Linked DNA regions of Oryzias latipes. The protein of the gene in region 2 binds, or shares a complex with, the protein of the main gene of each other region. Links are inferred from orthologs where the notes say so. Each region holds a gene or a part of one and is shown on either strand. Other genes may lie near its edges.

The links.
Region 1: tcte1 (region 2) and efcab2 share a complex: the UniProt entries of both Homo sapiens proteins name them as parts of the nexin-dynein regulatory complex. The link is inferred for Oryzias latipes from reciprocal best matches to the Homo sapiens genes DRC5 and DRC8.

What each region holds. Positions count from the first base shown.
Region 1 is NC_019861.2:24,638,474-24,649,037, reverse strand, and holds efcab2 (EF-hand calcium-binding domain-containing protein 2), read right to left. Parts: upstream 6,207-10,564; 5' UTR 5,895-6,206; coding exon 5,870-5,894; intron 5,753-5,869; coding exon 5,683-5,752; intron 5,596-5,682; coding exon 5,523-5,595; intron 4,445-5,522; coding exon 4,368-4,444; intron 3,773-4,367; coding exon 3,730-3,772; intron 2,786-3,729; coding exon 2,719-2,785; intron 2,625-2,718; coding exon 2,506-2,624; 3' UTR 2,416-2,505; downstream 1-2,415. Other genes in the region: ADP-dependent glucokinase, read left to right, coding at 1-311; cgref1 (cell growth regulator with EF hand domain protein 1), read right to left, coding at 8,375-8,659, 8,759-8,857, 9,911-10,035. UniProt on the Homo sapiens protein: Component of the nexin-dynein regulatory complex (N-DRC), a key regulator of ciliary/flagellar motility which maintains the alignment and integrity of the distal axoneme and regulates microtubule sliding in motile axonemes.
Region 2 is NC_019882.2:5,919,095-5,929,924, forward strand, and holds tcte1 (T-complex-associated testis-expressed protein 1), read right to left. Parts: upstream 5,091-10,830; 5' UTR 5,003-5,090; intron 4,853-5,002; exon of another isoform or gene 4,782-4,852; 5' UTR 4,737-4,781; coding exon 4,637-4,736; intron 4,560-4,636; coding exon 3,997-4,559; intron 3,796-3,996; coding exon 3,346-3,795; intron 2,437-3,345; coding exon 2,248-2,436; 3' UTR 2,224-2,247; exon of another isoform or gene 2,125-2,223; intron 1,601-2,124; exon of another isoform or gene 1,456-1,600; 3' UTR 1,351-1,455; downstream 1-1,350. Other genes in the region: E3 ubiquitin-protein ligase RNF8, read right to left, coding at 7,974-8,161, 9,889-9,921, 10,015-10,219, 10,313-10,420, 10,518-10,607, 10,707-10,766. UniProt on the Homo sapiens protein: Component of the nexin-dynein regulatory complex (N-DRC) a key regulator of ciliary/flagellar motility which maintains the alignment and integrity of the distal axoneme and regulates microtubule sliding in motile axonemes.

The sequences.
Region 1 (10,564 bases), on a different chromosome or scaffold from region 2:
TGACACGGGACTCCAAATGGAAAAACACCATGTCAGCCACGGCAAAGGCCTCGCTCACAGCTAACCGCCACGTCTGCGGCTCCAATGACATCGACCCCAGCAAGGCGAGGCTCATCATGGACGACTCGTTCTCCGTCAGCCAACGAGAAGGAAGCCAGCGCATCCCTTTGCAGGAGAACAGGCCCGTAAGCTGTTGGGATGAGGACGACTATGAGATTTGTGTGGCCCCAGTGCTGGTGTGTACCGAGGTTTACCAGACTGCAGGTGGAGGAGACAACGTCTCTGCTGCTGGCCTGGTCTTACAGATTTAAAAAAGGAAATAGGGTTTTTTCTGTTTAATCAATGTTGGCAAACCATGTGACCCTGGTAACTTGATCAAAGTGTGGCTCACTTCCGACTTTGGGTACTGATGAATCTGTTACTTCTGCAGCTGATGGTCCAACCTGTCAATAATAGAAACTTCTTACAGGTGAGAAAAGTCCATTGATGGTTAGCAGTAATTGGTGATGGAGTGAAGCCACCATCTTTTCAGTCTCAAATGTATGTAGGATGGAGGACAGTCAATGGAAAATACACATTTGCTGCTCAGCTAAAAACCTAAATTAAAAAATCAATGATATGAAAATGTAAAACGATTAAATTGATCCAGCATGTTTGCCGGGTCACTGCTTTCCACCTTTAGACTTTTTGATTTTCATAGCTTATCTTTTTATATTTCTCTGACACCTTAAAAATGTAAACTTTGGTCAGGATGATATAAAGGAGGGCTGAGGTTTGGGGTAACATTGGGCACAAGTTATAGGTTGTTTTATTGGGCCAACATGTGCCCTGTGTGGTTCTTTTTGTGTGTGTGTGTGGTTTTCTTTTTTAGTAATTTTTGCACAACTTCTCCTTTGAGATCAATTATCCTCCCACTCTTTAAACGTGGGCTGCAGCTATGCAACAAGGCCTCAGAAATGACTGAATCCAGTGTTTCTTGGCGTCATGCATATCAGGTTTTGAACAACCCTTTGACCTCATTTATCTATGAGCTTGTTCTTTTTTGAATCCCACTAAGCTTCAACTGATCAGAACGCTTTGACCTAAAGATCATCCTCTTTCCTGATCTTGAGCCCTTTCTCTGAAAGAAAGGAGGAACATGGTGGAAATTTCCTGTTTTTCCTGCTATATGTGAAGCGTGTGCATAATATTGTGGGCGTGTTAGTGTTGGGTGTAAATCTCTGCGTTGAAGTTGTGTGCAATAATGCAGAGAGACCACTGCAGGGAGCTGATTCTGATGTCATTGTTTATTCAATTTTCCGTCAGCTGCTCTCTCACTCTGACTTCTTTCCCTTTTGTCAGTTTTTCACCTGAAATGAACATTTAGTTGGATTTGCTGGAAAACGGGCTGCTTTTCTGTCATTTTTACTTGAAGTCATCATTTGACTCTTGAATCTTTGTGAAACATGGAGATCCGCCTGGATCTCCATATTTCCATGTTCCACCAGGCCACACTTGAGTCGTCTTATTTACAATTGAATCTCCTTTGCAACAGAACTGTTGTGCTTATCTGACTTTTTTTTTTTTTACAACTGTGATTCTTTTTTGATTGATTTTGTTTCAAATCTGTATTTAAATGCTGACTTTAGCACATTTCAACTGTGCCTCCCCCTCTTTATACAAATAAACATTCCATCATCAATCCAGTTGGGCCTGTTTCCAGAACTACAATAGTCAAGTTGACCATTTTTTCCTTAAATAATTGTGCCCTCATAAAGACTGCATCTGCAAGCTATTTGAGCCTTATTCTGTTTGTTTCTGTTTGAAACCCAAACGATAAAACCTGTCCCAGTAGACGTATGTTTTATCTCTTGAGCTCTCTGGTCTTAAACGGTTATTAGATTTGTGTTTATTTTGACATTAAATTGTACTGTACACTAAAATCATGAACATAGAGGGATTTGCTGGAATTTGTTACTAGACTTCTCAGACTTTCCTGTACATCAAATAACCCCTGTTTTCTGACGGTCTTGTAAATGTTGGAATCATGTTAATCATGAAAATCACCTCAGATAAAGTGCTATGCTCAGCAAAAGTCACTGCTTTTTTTTTGTTTTTTGTTCCATTCTGCTAGAACTCTGTTATTGAAGAAAATGTCATCATTTTAACACCAATCTTTGCATTTTGATTACAAAGTTTAGTTTTTTTTTCTTTCAACCTAAGCTTCACGTTCTGTTGCACACAAGCCACAGAGTTTCCATCTTCGTTGCAAATTTAATCCCTATCATTATTTCTACATCTCTTTAAACGTTTGCTTCTCTATTTTTGGAACTTGTTAATTCATCATGGCCCTCTTTTTAACCTTTCAAATCAATTTAAACTTCCAAGATCTGTTAAAAATAAACATTTTGAATAATTTCTGAAGTTTGACAGCAATACAGAAAAAACAAAAATTAATATTTATTTGTATTTTGGCCCAAACACACTGTTTTTCAGCAGATATGCTGAGAAATGAGGAATGACTGCCTACGTGTCGGGGTCAATGGTCAGCTGATTGATTAACTCCTTGTAGCAGATAAGGTTCTTTTTTTCATCAACCAGTGCTGTCAGCATTTCATTGGTCTCTTCCTGACTGAAGGCCTCACCTGTTGAACACAAGCATTGAATGAAAATATTAAACATTGATCCATTAATTTGTTGTTTTCCAGCTCACAAACTACTTCAAAGCTTCTGCTTTACCTTCACTTTTCATGTATTTTGCGAGCTCTTGTGGTTCCATGTATCCCCTCCTGTCTTTGTCTAAAACCTGGAATCATAATGCATTTCTGGTTTAATGAACATTGAAGCAAGGTAATAAGGTAACATTATGCTCAATGTTAAATTATCTCCTTGAGGTTTATAATACAGTATATCAATTTTAACAAAAGTTTGTATTCTCGATTAAATAGAAAAATCAAGAAACACGTCAGTCACAGGAACCACGGAATCACTTTGCCTTGCATCCCTGAAAATGCGCGAGAACTGAAAAAAACATGTTCTAAAGAAGAAAAGGTTTACAGCGTGTCCTCTTGGGGAAGAAGACAAATGTCATTTGAAGATTAAAGTTTCACATTTCTTCAGTTTAAAACATTTATGTAATAGGTAGGTTAATGAAAATTAGCTTTAATGGAAACTTGAAGAGTTAACCAAGTGAATCGTGACTTACATTATTTCAGGAAATACACAGTAACAATTATGGATGATTAGACATGAAAACGATGCTGGAACTCTTTTAAAATGCAGGTCAAATAAAATGTGATCGTTGCTGCCTCAGGAATCCTTTGAGGTTTTATAGTCTGTGGTGACGTGAGGTAGGATACAATCTACCAACAGAGATCTCAAGTAAAAACTCAACCATACTTTCCATCCATCTTCTAATCCTGCTATTCCCAGTTGGGATCACGGGAGCCTACCCAGCTTTGACACAGGATAATTGAATCTTCAATTATCCTGTGAAGCATGTTTTTGGACTTTGGGAGGAAGCTGGAGTGCCCAGGGAAACAAAGCAATCACCAGGGGAACATGCAAACTTTACCAGGGCCTTAAGGAAGTTTTACCATTAATTTTCTTTCCTTTACTGTGGCTGCAGGTAAAGCTGAAGAAAGTTATGTGCAGTCATCAGACAAAGACGTGAGACTGTCATTCCCCTTAGTGGACGGAGATCGTGAACTATGGGTCTTGGCGATACAGTGAAACTGGGTGTCCTCTCACCTCAAACGCCTGACGCAAATGCTCTTCAGGAATGGGAGGAAACCTAACAAACAGAATTAAAAATAAAGATTATTTTTCCCGTTTACAAATAGAGCTTTGCACAATTTTCCAAAGTAAACAGGAGGTCCCAGTTAGTCTCAGAATGTAATGGCATGGCAACTATAGTGTAATGAAGATCTTTTTGAGGCAGAGTCATTGACCATGCAATGCTGAATGCTGAGGAGTGATAATGAGGGGATCAGTTGCTCTCAGATAAAGGTGTCAAACTCCAAGTTGCTCATGCAATACAACACCACATACAATGAAAAGTGGGTTCAAATGTTGAATTTATTCAACCCAACAGCACAAGAAGATGTTTCCAAATCTCGTATTGAAGGAGATCACATATTTTTTTGTTTACAGTGTTTTTAGTAAAGTCTGAACCGCCTTGCCATTGGGTCTCTCTAGTACATTATCTGCAGCATGCTAGGTGATAAATGACAGTTTTATTTATCATCATAAAAAAATTGTGTCAGCTGTACAGAAAGGCTAACATGAGTGTGTTTTTCCACTGTTTTTTCTTTTCTGAAGCAGACAAAAAAAGTTGAATGAATTTAAAATGTGACTGGAAAATAATGTAGAAAGCAGAACTTTCTTACTTGTTCTCCATTATTACTTTGGTCATGACTGGTAGGAACTTGTCCAAGTGAACATATCCCATATTGTCCTCCTCCACCTGTGTGAACAGAATTTTGTGACAAAAGTTCTGAAAGATGTTACAAAACAAGAGAGTTAATCAGAGTTAATCAAATGTAATTATAACAAATTTATATGTATTTTTTAAATGTTCTGAATGTGGTGTTTTACATCTGTGAAGATTTTTCAATCATAAATGTTATGGCAGGATGACACAGTTCTTCAGGGTAACTGGACTTTTAAGGTTTATCCGGAAGACATTTCTGCCAGTAGATTCTTCAGTTCTAACTATTGTTAAAGAATTGAATGCTATTTATATGCTGACTATTTTGAAGGTGTGGCAAAATGTGGCTTTAAAATATATTACAACAATCTATATGAGGCAAAATTAAACTGCAGGGGGGGCCCTGGGCACATAAGTGTGTGAGGCCCTTTCAACAGTCATTTAAATGTTTTATCTTTCGTTTTTACATCTTTTTTATATAAAATAAATTACACTACTGAAGTCATTGTACCAACCGTGGCAATACAGCAAATAAGCCTGAAATCAAGGCCTGACTGACTAAAAGAGTGAGAAGTTGCGCAAATAGACGGTCCGTGCTTTTCATCAATGCTTATTTTTATTTATTTTTGTGATTCTCTTGGACTGCTGCTGCGCAATGATCAACATGCGCAAAGCGCGTAAAACAAGGATTCGGCACGCACTAAAGTTTTTAGGTTAAAACAATGCAACAGAGAATAAAGAATTGATACAAAAGCGGCTGAATCAAAAAAAAATTAGCTCTTAAGTTGATTCTGCGGGTCAACATATATTTTCTGTAAAATCAGCGATACGACGTTACAGTCAGACCACGCGACACCTAATCATCCTATATTTGCTGCTCCAATGATGGCCAAACGCTCCTGAATGAGGAGGTACAAGAAGGGGGTGAAGGCTCCAGCTGTCCAGATATGGACAGAAACAGATGGAGAGAAAAAAAAGCGCACGGAGAGATGCGCAAAAAAAAAAAAAAGAAAAGAAATTTCAAAGTAAAAGTTTGTTGTACTTGTAGGAAGGTCTAGAAGAAGCAAATGGCACACTATTTTGCCCGCCTGCGAGGAGGGCGGAACTTACTGACCTCATCCACGAAGCGATGGATGTCTGCTTTGGTGGGGAAACATCCCAGCGAATAGATGATGGTGCTGACCTCACTGCAAAACAACATTTTCGGAGTGGGCGCTGAGTTACTCTTGACTTGTTTGAGTTAATGAAATAAGTTTGGGATCTTTAAAGCTCACCGGACGTCCACGGTGTTGTCAGCTTTGTGGTCAAACACGTGAAAGGCTGCGCGGATTTTCCTCTGGATTTCTGATAACCAAAGCACAAATAGACTGTATTCATCTAATTTATATATTGAAAAAAATAAATGAATTGTAATAACAAAAACTAAACAAATTTTAAACCAGTAAAGAAACTCTGACTGACCTGCTGTTTCACCGGCTTCCGCCATGTCTGCCTGGTGTTGTCGTGTTGCTTAGCAACCGAGTGACACCCTACTTAATATTCTTTTACCAACAAAAAAAATGTACTGTTTCCTTAATAACCTAATTAATTCTGAGACACTTAATGACCTATAATGATATCTGTTTGCATATTGGATAAATAATTTTTCCAACTCATCAAGTCTAAAACTTTATCTGAAAAAGCTTACAGTGGGGCAAAAAAGTATTTAGTCAGTCACCAATGGTGCCAAAGTTTTACTACTTAAAAAGATGAGAAAGGCCTGTACTTGTCATTATACCTCAACTATGAGAGACATAATAAGAAAACAATTCCAGGAAATCACAGCGTCTGACTTTTAAAGAACTTTTTTCTCAAATTATGGTGGAAAATAAGAATTTGGTCACCTACAAACAGGCAAGATTTCTGGCTCTCATAGACCTGGAACTTCTTCTGTAAGAGGATCCTCTGTCTGCCACTCGTCACCTTAATTACTGGCACCTGTTTGATGGTTGTCTGAAAATGTATGCTTGTCTATAGAAAATACACCAGTACACAACCTTAAGCTGTCTAAGGACACCAGAAACAAAAATGTTGACCTGCACCAGGCTGGGAAGACTGAATCCGCTAAAGGTAAGCAGCTTGCTGTGAAGAAATCAACTGTGGGAGCAATTATTAGGAAATGGAAGACATACAAGACCACTGATAATCTACCTCCCTCTGGGGCTCCCTGGAAGATGTTCTCCCCCCGTGGGGTCGGAATGATCACAATGAGCAAAAATACACAACCACACAACCACACAATTAGACCTAGTGAATGACGTGCAGAGAGCTGGGACTAAAGTAACAAAGACTACATCTGTAACACACTACGCCGCCAGGGACTCAAATCCTGCAGTCCCAGACATATCCCCTTGCTAAAGACAGTACATGTTTGCTAGAGAGAATTAAGATGATAAGATTATTCAGAAGAGGACTGGGAGAATGTCCTATGGTCAGATGAAATAAATAAAACTTTTTGGTAAGATCGATACTCGTCGTGTTTGGAGGAGAAAGAATACTGAGTTGCATCCAAAGAACACCGTACCTGCTGTAAAGCATGGGGGTGGAAACCTCATGATTTGGGGCTGTTTCTCAGCAAAGGTACTGCTGATCCGTGTAAAGGAAAATTTTAATGAGGCCATGCATTGTCAGATTTTGAGTGAAAACCTCCTTCCATAAACAAAGGCAATGAAGATGAAACATGGCTGGGTCTTTCAGGATGACAACGACTCCAAACATACTGCCTGGGTAACAAAAGAATGACTTTTTAAGAAGCATTTCAAGGTCCTGGAGTGGCCTTGCCAGTCTCCAGATCTCAACCTCATAGAAATTCTTTGGAGGGAGTTGAAAGTCTGTTTTGCCCAGCGACAGCCCCAAAACATCCCGGCTCTAGAGGAGATCTGCATGGAGGAACATTCCAAAATACCAGCAACGGTTTGTGAAAACCTTGTGAAGACCTACAGAAAACATTTGCCTGCTGTCACTGCCAACAAAGGTATATGTATAACAAAGTATTGAGTTGAACTTGGGTTGTTGACCAAATACTTACTATACACCATAATTTACAAATAAGTTCTTTGAAAATCAGACTGGGATTTTTCAGAATTTTTTATTTTATTTTGTCTCTCATAGTTTAGGTATATCTATGAAGAAAATTACAGGCCTCTCTTATCTTTTTAAGTGGGAGAACTTGCACTATTGGTGGCTGAATAAATACTTTTTTGCCCCACTGGATATTTAGTAAAATTGTATTATTACAGTCGGGATAGGCTCAGGCAGCCCTGTTACCCCAAAAGGGAACAAATGGATTAGAAGATGAATGAATGAATGAATGAATGAATGAATGAATGAATGAATGAATGAATATATTATTGGGGCAATCTGATTTCATTTTTTTATTTATTCTTTGAAGTCTATTATCATTTTATCAAGGGAAACATGAATTTTTGTGCCACACATTGAATCAGGAAAAGCACATCAGTATAAATATCACCTGAGTAGATTCCTTACAGATGCTTGAAGGCATGCAGAGACTACAGTGCATTCTGGCTGCATTTATGCTGGATATTACCGAGACAAGTTATCATCAAAATGTAGTAATGATTAGGAAACTACTGTTGTGTACTGCACAGTGAAAACACCGTGTATGAAAAGTATGACCAGAGATTTACTAGTGAGACAAATGATGAATAAATAAAGCATCAAATCTTACCAGAAAATGTGCAATAATGATAATGATAGATTTCAATGCTCCTGTGGGGTGTTTTAACTTTTAGAAATTAAAAGTTATAGGAACAACATCATGCATGGAAAGCAAAAGATGACTTTTCATTGTCTGGCACACGTTTGACAGCTTAGAGTGGACAGTGAGTCCTCAGAACCAATAAAGCCCTTTTTTTGGGATAAGGGAGGAGGAAATCTTCCCAAGAAGAACATTTTCATAGAGTTTCATATTTCTGGTTGTCCCTGGTGTACAGGGACTCCTTCCTGTTCTTCTACAGGGGCGTCCTCAATTTGTTGTTGATTATATTTATCTATTTGTTGTATGTCTTTGTCCGCCTGTGTTTCCTGATTTTGTATTTCCTCCTCTTGAGGGTGAAAGTCTTCCCGAGGATCCTCTTGCTGTTTGTTGTCCACTGCTCCTGCATTTTGCTCCTCTGTGATGATGGCTGATTGCCTGTTCTCCACAACCACCTCCTGCTTCGTTTGAGGTATCTGGTTGATCTGTGAGCCCTTTGAGGTAGCAAGTGTCATATAAAGTCATTGCCAAAACAAACAAAATGGTGTATCATTTTAAAAACCAAAACAAAATGTGTGTTGATCTGGAAGTACCTGTGTGTGAGTGAGTGGAGACAGCAACTCAGAGGGGTCCAGCAGCCCATCATGGTTCAAATCCTGAGTCTGGAGTAAGAAATCCACCGTAGACACTATCTAAACCACCCAAAGGGATGCAAATATGTGGTCAGAAAGGAAACTACACCCAAATACAATGACAGCTCTAAAACACCAACTAATCCAGGGGTCCACAACCTGAGGTTCCGTACCCACATAAGGCTCCTTTATCCCTCCATTGTGGCTCTTTGGCTTTGAAGAAAAATGCTAACGATTTGAATAAAAATATTTTTTTGTAGTTGTGATTGATTTGTTTTAGTTAATATAGTTTATTTCATTTATTTTTAGATTTTTAAAATAATGATGGGAAAAGGTTTCGTGAGAGGCGTTTGTTATTAGAATCATTTTAAAGCTCACATAGGCTTTTTAAAATTGGATGTTGTGATGTTTATATTTAATAGTAAAAGGAGAGAAAGGATGAAAGTTCACCAAAGTCATAATGATAGAAAAGTTCATGTTTGATTGACTTTCTTACATTTTTTATTCAAATAAATCTGCTGCCGCAGAAGGATCTTATTTAATAAAGGATGTATTTTATTTTGAATGGAACTTGTTTGTGCTGGTGTCAAAAGTAAGAAATGATATACAAAAAATTATAAAACTTTTACAATTCAATTTTTATCACTATCTAAAATTTAATGGTCACAAAAACATAAATCAAGTGTATTTTTTTACATGTGTCAAATTTCTTTTTCAGTTTGATCCTTCATTAATGGAGTTATGTGGGTTTTAATAAGCTTACAAAACTCAAAAGGATTTATGCTAGAATAACAAGCAAACATATGTTTTCTATGCAACTGTAATTGTCACTTTAAAAAGTTATAATAAATAAATGATGAGTTATTTAACATTAAGGAGTATTTACATTTATTTTTCATTACATTTAGTTACATGTATAAGTTATATCTGGCCCTTTGAGGACAGCCACTATGCTGATGTGGCCCTCAGTGAAAATGAGTTTGACACCCCTGTTCTAAACAGTGCAGAGGGACTTTGTGGCTCTCATTGGCGTTCAAGAAACTGGACCAAATGGTTCTATTATAGGGTTAAAGGTTGCAGACCCCTGATTTACACAAAGTCACTCCAGCTCACCAGCTCGCTGGCATCCGCTTGACCTGAATGATGTTTGCTGTAGTCAGAGAGCAGCTTCATCATCTCCAAACCATCCAAGAACCCACTGCGATCAAAGTCATACAGACGGAACAGGAAGAAAACCTCTGAAGCAAAAAAAGAACACTATGAGAGACGCTGGATGCCAAACTCATCTGACACTTTAAAAAAAAAAAAAACACAATCTCTGAGCTTTGGTGATGAAAGCATGGAGCAGTTTTGTCGTCTGAAAACCCACGAACCTGAACAATTTTTACTTTGCTGGAATTGAGATGCAATATGGAGGCCATAGTACATATGACCATATAAGGAACCCAACTGTTGTCTCCTACAAGAAGTCATGAGGTTTGCTTGTTATAAGAGATCAACGTATTCATCTGAAGGCTGTGAGGTTTAAATGATGAACAGTTATAAACTAGAGTCAAGAAACAAAAATCTTCTATTTATGACACATTTTTCATCCTTCCAGAAGCTAAAACGACTTATGTGAAAAGTTACCTTCTGTATTGTGATCTAAGCTCATCTTCTGCAGGTTTTTAACATGTTTATTGGTTGTTAAAATTATTATTTCTTAATATAATTATCTCTTAAGGGTTGTGATTGAAACTCCAGCATTTTCTCTTAAACATGCGATCA
Region 2 (10,830 bases):
GAGGGGTAAAGTAAATCTTATTTGATCATGTTTTAGTTTATCTAATTTTTCAATCACTCATCTGTTGTGATCAGATTTTCAGTATTTAGATATCCTAATTTGTGATGCATTTTGCTGTTTTTGGTATTAAAAGTAGTGCTCAATCATTTTGTCTGTGAATTCAAAATACTGTATATGAACTTTTGAGAACACAATAAGCCATACTTCCACATTCCAGGTTAGTGTCAGGTTTGAACTAAGCTACGCTTGTACCGCTGTATTATGTCTCATCAAATGGCCGATTATATGATTATAAAATGGATTTCTTAAAATAATTAAATTATCAGTCAGCTCCTATGCAAGCCCCAAACTCAGGACACAATCTGACTGCAACATTTCATTTCTTACACTAGAATGGAGGGTTTCTAAGTACAAGATTGAATGAAACAGATCTTTTTTGAAACAAGAGTTTGTTTCCTGCCAAAATAAGATGCATGGAAAAATCACAAAATCTCTTAAAAAGTAAGTTAAAGCCAATTACTCATAATTGTAAGGGATAAAATATTCTCTGGTCTCATTTGTTTCCTAATAAAAGTGTTTCTTTTCTGTGTTTTTGCGGTGAATAGCAACTGTTTTGTAATTACACTGGCCTAAAACGTTTTAGAATTTATTAGGTTTTAGTATTTCATTTATTTATAAAGGGAAAATGTTGTGTTTCCTGATATTTGTCAGCTAGAAATCATTTCATGAAGTTTATGGTGCTGGATGTACAAAACATGTAAATTATAATTAATTATAGGAAGATCAAAACCAGAAAGTCAATCAAATTGTTTTCAGTGTAGAAACAGCAGTAATATTTAATTGAAGGTTAAAGAAAAATTACGTTTTTTATTTTTTGAGATGGCAGGTGGTGGATTATGGGGGGGGGGCGTGGACTGCTCAGAAACCGAAGACTCTAGAGGGTCCGGACGGGACGGAGGACACTAAAAACAAAACCTTTAAAACTTTTTCTTTTAGTCACTTTCTGTTGAGTCTTTTTCAGAAGCGGATGTGCAAATGGGAGGTTTTCTCTGTAGTTGACTGTCAGAGTAAATGATTTTGTCATGACTTCCTATTTAGTCAAATAGATTAGTTCATCATAGATATTTGTGCTCATTTCTTTCGATCTATTGGCTCGTGTTTGTGAGGCCACAAAAGTTTAGTGCTGTAAATAATTGAAGGTTTTGGGTGAATTTTGATGAATGTCTTTTCTTCTGTCACACACAAACAAGCAGGCAACATGTTGAAGATCTCAAATGAAAAGCTTAAAGATGTCTTGTTGGCCTTCTTCAGAACACATTTCAAGGTTTTTAATGGTTTATTTTACTGTCAAAATGTTTTTTTTTGAAGTAGAAATAGATATAGACAGTTTTTTTTTTTACCTGTTATGATCTGCAACAGCTTTTTCTGAGAAACATTAAGGGTTGAGAGCAAAATCTGCAAAGACATGACAAAAATGACTGATACTAAATGTGATCAAATGTCTGTATGCGTTCCAGTTCCATCACAATGCTGCCTTTATGAGGACTCATTACCAAATATCTTCAGATTAAAAGCACTCAATAAACAGAAATGCTCACTAAAATGTCTGATTCCATGTAAAAAAAAGAGAAAAATGTTCTTATTTGAAGCCAAAGGTTTGCAAATCGATGTATTTGTTCATTTTTCTCAACAGTAACATCTCTTTTTTTTTAGCATTTATAAAGATTAAAGTTTGATGATGCTTACAAAACACTGGGATGTGACAGTAGGGAGGTCATGAGTCTCAGACAGAGTATTAAAATGTTTTCTTTGTTTCCAATACCAGCCATAAATCATCAACAGCTTGATCCTCTCTCAAGAGGAAAGCTCCCAAAGGAAAGTTAAGAACTCCAACAGGCTTATTTTATCCACAGATATGCATCAGAATATTTATTAAAATATGGAAATGATAAAATTTCATAGAGTGTCAGATGATTGTTTATTATTCTAGAGTTGAATCAGCACTAGAATTAGCTTATATCTTATATGCTTATATTTTTTCATTATTAGAAAACTGCTGACTTAGAATTTAAAAAATATGTTCATAAGATGAATTTGTGGTTATCTTTTAACAGCAAAACACTGTTAGATTGTGAAGCAGTTTTTTTTGTTTATTAGGAATAAATCAAAAGAGGGCCTTGAAGAGGAATGGGTGGGAATAAAGAAAACAAAGTCATGTCTAACCTTAGATCTTGGTGTTCAAAAACTTCAGTTAAGAGCAAAGGTTTTTTTGGGGGCGTCCCCCTTTCGTTGTGTTTTTAACTGTGACATCTGGTTGGCCCAAAGCAGCTTGTTGATGAGGAAAGATCTCTGATCATCAACTTGGGTCAGGTGGACGTCACATTCTTTTATAGTGGAGTTCTGTGACAACGCAGCCACCAAAGCCTCACCTCCAACCTGCAGACATGGGGTTAGAATACAAAAATATAAAACATAAGAAGACTAAAATTCACCTTTTGGTCATTTTTTCAGCTTAGTAAGTTTTAAAACTCGTCAACAGAACTTGTTTTTCTTTAAGCTGGAGTGGACCGAGGTCAGAAGTATTGATGGTTTCATTTCTGCTGTGTGAATGATTTTTGATCCACCAGATCACTTCAGTCACAGATACCACGAACTGTGGCAGCAGAGCTGCAGGGGATAGTTGTAAATCTATTTTTATGGGGGGAAAAAAACCCACTTCCTACTCTTTCCATTACTGCCTGTGTTCTGCAGACATCGATAAATAATTGAGAATCCTTGCAGCAACCCTGACTGTGTCAACAAAGGGAGCAGCAGAGTTTTGGGATGAACAAATTGAATCGTTTAGTTCAAAAGGGGTCCAAGTCCACAATTTTTCATAATAGAGATATTATATGTTCTACGGGCTTCAAAGAAAAAGTTATCTGAATTTTGTGCAAAAAAGTCCCAAGTCTGTTGTAATGTATGCTTGACATTTAAAATGCATTAAGTGCAAAATTCCTGGACTTGGGCCTCTCCTGCATGGGTTTTGTTTTATCCCATAGATGGCAGCACTAGTTATCCAATATGGCAGCGCCCCTGTTTAATTCAAGAAGAGCCAAAGTCCAGAGACTTTAGTTTGCTAGTCTTCTGAAATTATAAAAGTGAGGTGCTTCATATTATAGCATTTGAAGCTATGAACTGGTGCTTAATCTGGGTAAAATGTTAATCATTTGGTGTAGCCCCCCTTTAAGATATGCAATTCAAATCATTTCCTGGAAAAACAAACCTCTTGGACTTGGGCCCCTTTTGAACTAACCGATTCATTTATGTTCCAGTTAAAAGAAACAAACGTGGACATGTCCTTACCTCACAGAGCTGGTTGCAGGACAGATTAAGGCTTTGCAGAGTTGTATTCTCTGTGAGCACTTTAGACACAGCCTCAGCAGTGACTGAAGTCAGATAATTTCCTCCCAGGTTCAGATTGTGTAGAGTTGTGTTGTTCAGCAAAGCTTCGGCAATGGCCTGACCCCCTTCATCCTTTATCATATTCAGAAGCAGATTAAGGGACTCAAGAGTGCAGTTCTTAGATAAGGCCAGAGCTATGGCTTTGGCCCCCTGGCAGCTAATAAGGTTGTTGCACAAGTTAAGAGTCTGCAGTTTATTCCTGGTGAGCAGCTTGCTGATGGCCCTGGCTCCAACGTCTCCAATCTTGTTGTGACAAAAGTCGAGTTCTTCCAGGGAAGGGTGGTCCATGAGGTGTTTCACCAGCAGCTGACACTTTCTGTCATCCATGTGGCTTTGGTGGAGCCTGAAAAGCTTAATATTGAGGATAAATGACGACGGAATACAGAGGGAAACTTTTAGAGCCATCAAAATAAAAGCTTTAAAGTTAAGGATAAAAAGGATAATGACCAGATTTAAAGGATTAACACATTAAATCATTCAACTACGCAACAAGTTCATTCCAACAAACCTTTAAGATAGTAAAATTTGTAAAACACAAAGAATAACTGATACCTTCAGTGTCTTACAGGACTGAAGAGCCTTGGCGAGGGTCTCACAGTCTCTGTATGTCATCTCAAACATATTCCATGCAAAGTTCATGCCACATTGTTTGATTCTATAAACCAGGTGGAGCTCTTCCAGGTTTGTCAGCCTCTGAAGCAGGATGTTAAAGTCAAAGTGGTCCATGGGAGGCACATACCTCTTCCAATGAAAGTCATGATCATTCTCCTTGCTCTTCTTCTGAGGCTCCACGACAGGAACCAGGAGCTGTGAGATGTCCAGACGCTTGACGTATTTTTCACAAACTGATACGACATCAAGAACGGTCTGCGGGTCGGTTACATTTGGGATGAAAAGTTCAATGATCTTCTCCAAGTGCTTCTCCAAAAACATTCGTTTCCAGCTGTGGCCGTGAACAGAGACATCACAGAAGGCCAACTTCTGCTGGCAACAGCGCCTCCAGTAGGGCCCCTCAGGGAGCACGCTGGCTGTGACTTGGACAGGAAGGGAAAGGGACAGTCTCTCCTGCAGGAACTCCTTCTGGGCAGCTGTGAGCATCTCAAATATTGGGTTTCCTGTAACAAAGAGGAACTGTGCAGTCAAGTGGCTCCACTTTTTGCAAAAACCGAAGCTGCAGGAAAATTATACATACTTTCAAAGTTGTTCACAATGATTTGCAGGCAGAGAATGGATAAACTGGGCACTGTGGTGATAGACCAGTCTGGATCTTCAGCAATGATCCTCCTCCTCATGTTTATCTTTTATTTTTGTAGCTTTCAAACTGTCTCATACAAATCCTGTTAACAAACAATAAACATTTAAGAAGTAAACATCTTGGAAACTGGAGAAAGTAGCTAGCTAACGCTAAATAAATGGTCTATTGAATACTTCAGTTCAAAGAAGTAATTTGCGTAAATATGTCAAAAAGTATATTGACAAAAACCGCAAAGAATTATCTGAAGTGCATTTCAGTAAGATTAAAAAGATATTTAATCAAAAAGAAGACAAATAAACTCACGTTTACGAACGTAAACAAAGCCCCCCGTGTCCTGTTATGGAAACTTCCAGTCGTTGCCATGGAAATCGAATCATTCGTGTGTAGTTTGAGGCTTCAAGGAAATCTTAGCTTCAGCGTCACTAACTACAAACATAAAAATAATTCCCGTCGCTACTTTAAAATTATCAAGCAATTTACACAAAACATACCTTAAACGAGTCTATTAGCTGAAGATAATGAGAGTAGACTGAGATCATTCGAACTAGACTCACAACATTCGTTGTTATGGGATTTAAAAGTCGAATATGAACACCACAAACTAAAAGAAAAAGAACAACTCCGCCATACTTGAGGGTTCTCAAACCTCTGACGCGAGAACAGTAACTTCAAGTACTGCTGCTACAAGTGCTTTTAGCGTTATTGTTTTTCCTTTAAAATACACCAATTATTTTCTAATTCATTAATGGATTTAATTGATAAATATAGATTCACTTAAATATGTCAATTATACTTTGCACGGAATTGGCTCTTGGTTGATTAAAAATGTTTAAATATAATTCTGAAAGTTTTGAATTATTTTATATAATGTATTTTTGCTCAGAAAGAATAATTGCATAATCATTGTGCATCATTTTGTGTTCTTCAAACTGATGGCATGTTGTTTGGACTAAAACAGGTATGAAATATATAATAATAATAAAATATAAAAATGATCAAATATCAAATGTTGCCATTTAAATAAAAAAACAGCTACAACATTTATTCAGTTTTGAATGTTACACAAAATGATTTTAACTTTGTTTTAATCGTAAGAAGCACTTTAAATAATATAAATTGCATATGTATAGGAAAAAATATGTATTAACACATTATGTTCATATGAATCAAGTCGTGCACAAATTGATTAAATTTCAAATAATTACTGAATTCAGTTTTTATTTATAGATGTAATAAAACTAAAATAAATAAATTATGTACATAAATGAATCCTTAGTCATTTGAAAAGCAAAAACTGGTAATATTGACAATAGGGAGGGCTTGCATTAGGCCAAAATGAGATGATCTCAGAGAAAAGCACAGACTAATAAACTACCAGATGGGCCTTGGAAATGGATCATGTGCCTTTTGGATGAGAAATCACTTGAGTGAATCCATCTGTCATGTAAACAACAACATGAAGCAGGTGCTTAGCTCCATTTCAGGCGGGGAAAAATGCATACATGCTGAGTTTGTTCATAGAAAATACAGCTTTTTTTCTCATAAGAATTATTTATACACATAAACAAAGTTGGCAAAAAATGTTTTTGTTGTAGTCAAACAGTTCGAGAAAAGAGAATAACATTTGTAATTGCGAGAAATTATCCGGATAAAAATCAGGGGAAATTAAGGGTTAAGAAAAGAATGAAAATATCCACAAACATTAAAAGTTATCGTAAATAAACATTTTCTTAAAAATATAAAATTTCTTAAAACCTAATGGAAGATTTTTGGCTTTAGCACCCAAAGTTTCTTTTACAATAAAACTAGGGATGCCTTTTTAAATACAGACTGCTTTTCAAAGCGGAGAGAAATGAGGTGAATGCAGGATGCATCATGTGTATTTCTCATATTCAGGCACAGCAGTTGAGCCTGTTATTGGCATCATGAGCGCATGCAGAACTGATGCTGGGTCAGACGGAGTAATGAAGGGCTCCAACTGTAGCCTTGAGGCAGTCCATCACTGTCCTCCATGGGATATCAGGGGGGGCAGGAACGGCCTCCCCAGCACTGCAGCTTTAATGGCAGGGCATGACATCAAGAGGCAAACTCACACGGTGACGGCCGTCTTTGTGCGCTCAAATCAGTGAGTGGACTCACGTTTGTGTATCATTTTGTAACTTTAAAATTTGATTTATTTTTTCTGCTAGAATACATAAAAAATTAACCATTTTCGTATCAAGAACTGTTCTGAAAAATCTACTTTAGCGTAAATAGTGGGGTTTAAAATATGAGTCCCCCCCCCCACCATTCTGGCAATAAAATCTACTTTTCTAAATTCAGAAATGCACCACTTTAATATATATATATATATGTTTTTTTTCTTTATTTACTTTTTAAGCCTAGAAACGGAACCAGCTTGATTATAATAAAATAAATATAAATTAAAGATCTTGTTAAAGGACTAAAATATAAAAACTGTGTTTTTAAGCTATGTTTAAAGTTAAAATGAAAGCATTAAGTGGAATTAAAAACATGCCCATATGGAGGGATTATAATGCCATTATTGTGAGCGCAACAGCCACTGTTTTGATCATAAAATTTAAAAGTTTTGTGTGCTCAAAACAATAGTTTGCAATTGAAACAGAAAAATACACTTGAAACTTTAAACTATGTTCCAAATGTGCCACAAAAGCCAGCCAATCACAGACATGGGCGTGAAAGGGTGATGTCTGTGATTGGCTGGCTTTTGTGGCACGTATGTCAGACGGTGCTCTGGATTGAGAATTGTCCCCCCCCCATATTTTTGAGTTTCTAGTTCGTTTTTCTGTTTCAAGTGCGAAATATTTTTTTTTTAGCACAATTTTTTTTAAGTTTTACGCTAAAAAATGTGAAAGTTACAGTTGGAATAATGGCACAAAAACCACTCCATACGCCCATGCTGTGTCTGTTAGTTGGGAACATTTCTAGTAGAAAAATCACAAAGTCTGTGTGTTTGAATACTTTAAGCTACTAATCGAAGCGAAGATTTTAAATATCAACCCAGAACACGTAGAAAAAAGCAACATGAAAGAGTTGAAAACTTGTAAAGATAATGGTAAAAGTAATCAGGAAGAAACTTTAATCTTTTCACTGAAAAACAAGTACACTACACAAATAATAACTTTACAAAAAGAAAACATAAGGAAGTTTTCCTCATGATGAGACCAAAGTGTTCTTAGTGTAAACTAAAGATCCCGAGGGCTTTTCTTGTTGGAGGGCTTTGCGAGTCCGTTTTTTGCCTTCCGATTGAGAGTTAATCTTCAAGGTCATCTGAGATCTCAAACTCTAAATGGTCGCTGCTTTCTGTGTCCACAGTGAACACAGAGCTGAGGCTGCTAAAAATGGACAGCATGCTTCCATCGCTCTCGACGGTGCTGCTGCTGCTGCCGTCGCTGCTGCTGTCGTCATCGTGGATCACCATCACCTCTGCGGCGTTGGCGGCTGGAAAACAGAAACGCAGAGTGAGCCGCCCTTTCTTCCTGGAGAAACTCCACTGACATACGCAGCACTAATACGCCCGGCTAACAGAACAGAAGATGAAACATATTGTATTGTCATCTTGTGTAACGGAGGGTCTCTCGGCAGATCCCCTCTGGTGACACCATGACATGTTATTAGAAAGCCTCCCAGCAGCTTCCCAGCATTCCCTGAGGTTTGGACCCTTCAGCACTTTCTGCTGCTTTTGAGCAAAGGGTCACTGAATGGACTCTAGTCACAAAAGTTGATATTTTTAGACATTAAACCCTAAAACCAGGAGATAGTCCACTCGTGACAGAATGAAGGGAATGATTTCCAAGTTGTTTCAGGAACTTGTGCTCTTTAACACATCTGAATAGATCAATACATTTGAGTTTCTACCTGGGATGCACTCCGGTGAAAATCATGTTTGTAGTGTTTTTAACATGTTATTGAGGCATTTTTCTCATGAGGGAGGACATACACTAAGAAAATCAATTTTGAGCTGGCATTGGTTCTAAACTGTACGGCTGGGTAGCTCCGATATTGCTGCAAGGTACCAGGAGAGTGTGTTAACAGATGAAAGTGCGGGCGGGGTTACTCTGCGCTGATGGTCCCTCCCACATCTCTAATTTCTAATGAAAACAACAGATTTATTTTTTTATTTGGCTAAAAATGACCGTCATGATTAAAGACCAATAGGAATTCTTTGAAACTAGATGAAAAGATGATCAAAGCCTAAGTCACATGACCCGTACGGGTGCTGCAGGTCTTTGGGTTGTCTGGGCCCGTGGGGGGTCGTAGAGAGGCGTGGCTGCCTCTTAAGGGGGGGGTACAGGTGTGGGTTGTAGTTCCCTTAAAACTCATAGGGTCCCCTCAAGAGACGTCATGAAAATGGAACGTACCAATGTCGTGCTTGTGGTAAGTGTTTTGTGGGAATAATGTAGTGTAAGATGAACACTTGTATTTTTAGGATTTGACCAAATCTCTTCTCACGATGAGCTATTTTCCTTCATGGCGTCATAAGGAAAGGCTCCATTCACACAACGCTGTTACTGTGACCCCGCCCACCTATATCAGTACTGTCACTTTTCCACTTGGTGATGGCACAGTTGTTGAAGAGGATATTTCAAATTGGCTTTTCTCGTCATAAAGGTTGCTGTCCCCTACTGTAGTCCTTAGTAATAATAATACATTTTATTTATATGGTGCCTTTCTAGACACTCAAGGTCGCCTCACAGTACAAAATTATGTAAAATCATAAAAATATAACAACAAAACGCCACAAAACACAAAATAAGTTAACAGTTAAATCAGCAGTTTAAATATTATGAATCCAAGGCAAAAAGGTGAGTTTTGAGATGTTTGGAAAACAGAGAGATGGTCCATATTTTGTAGATCAGAGGGGAGGGAGTTCCAGAATTGCGGGGCTGAGCTGTTAGCAAGGATCGAGGACTGGCTCCTTACTGAGCGTGTGCAAATGTTGCACGGATGAGATGTGCATATGATACACAAGTGCCCGTTAGATGTCCACACAAACTACGCTCTGACGGTTTAATTTCCTCATTTCTAACAGTCAGGATCCGTGCGAGGAGCGCGCATTTATCACTTAACAGCACTAACGAACCTCTTGTGCAAAAATCTGAACGAAACGCACAAATTCCTCTCCTGATCATGTGACATTGAAAGATCAGTCCAATTTCCCCACTTACCTGATTGGACACTGCTTTCACAGACCTGCTCACCTGAAGACAGCAAAAATAAAAGTCTTTTAACAGCTCTGGGTTAACACTCGAAAGCTTTTCGGTCCAGTCGAGCATCACAAACGCACCTCTCACCTTTCCTCTCGTTGATGACGCTTTGCCTCTTCTCCTTGACGTCCAGGCTCAGGTTCTCCATCATGCGCTCGATGAAGTTGTCCAGGGCCAGGCAGCGGCTTTGGGACGTGATGGCCTGTCGGCAGATGGGACACTCTTCTTTCTTTTTGCGCCACTGGGTGATGCAGTAGGAGCAGAAGCTGTGAGCGCAGTTCAGGGTGACTGCCTGCAGAAGACGACCATAAGACGATCCAAAAAATGTCACTCTAACGGTCGGTGGTTCTCATTTGCAGGTGAAGCTAATCTGATAAGAGCCCACCTCGATGAAGAGTTCTGAGCAGATGATGCACTGAAGCTCGTTCTCCAGAACTTCAGTCATTTGTGTAACCACTTCATCTTTCTGGGCACGGGCCCTTTCCTTTTCCTCCTGAGGATTTATTGTGATTATTATTAATTATATATATTGTGATTTATTGTGGCATTCAGGGGCAGAAGATGAATAAAACTAAGGATTTTGAACAGACCTTCGTGGCTTCCAGCTCTTTGTTTTTGGCTGAGAGAATCTTTTCGAAGGCTTGTCGAGAGAGGGCGTGTTCAACGATCACTTTCTTTTGCTGAGAATAGATAAAAACAATACTTATCCTCAATAATGTCACTTCATAATCTCATAAATGCTGTCCGTCTACGGAAAGAAAACTCCTTTATTTTCTTACTTCTTGCAAGGCATCGTTCAACTGCTTTCTCATTTGCTCTTCCTGCTGTGTTTTCTGATGCTAAACACACACACAAAAATGCTTCTTTATCCCCACAAAACTCACTTCACATCCTGCTTGTAAA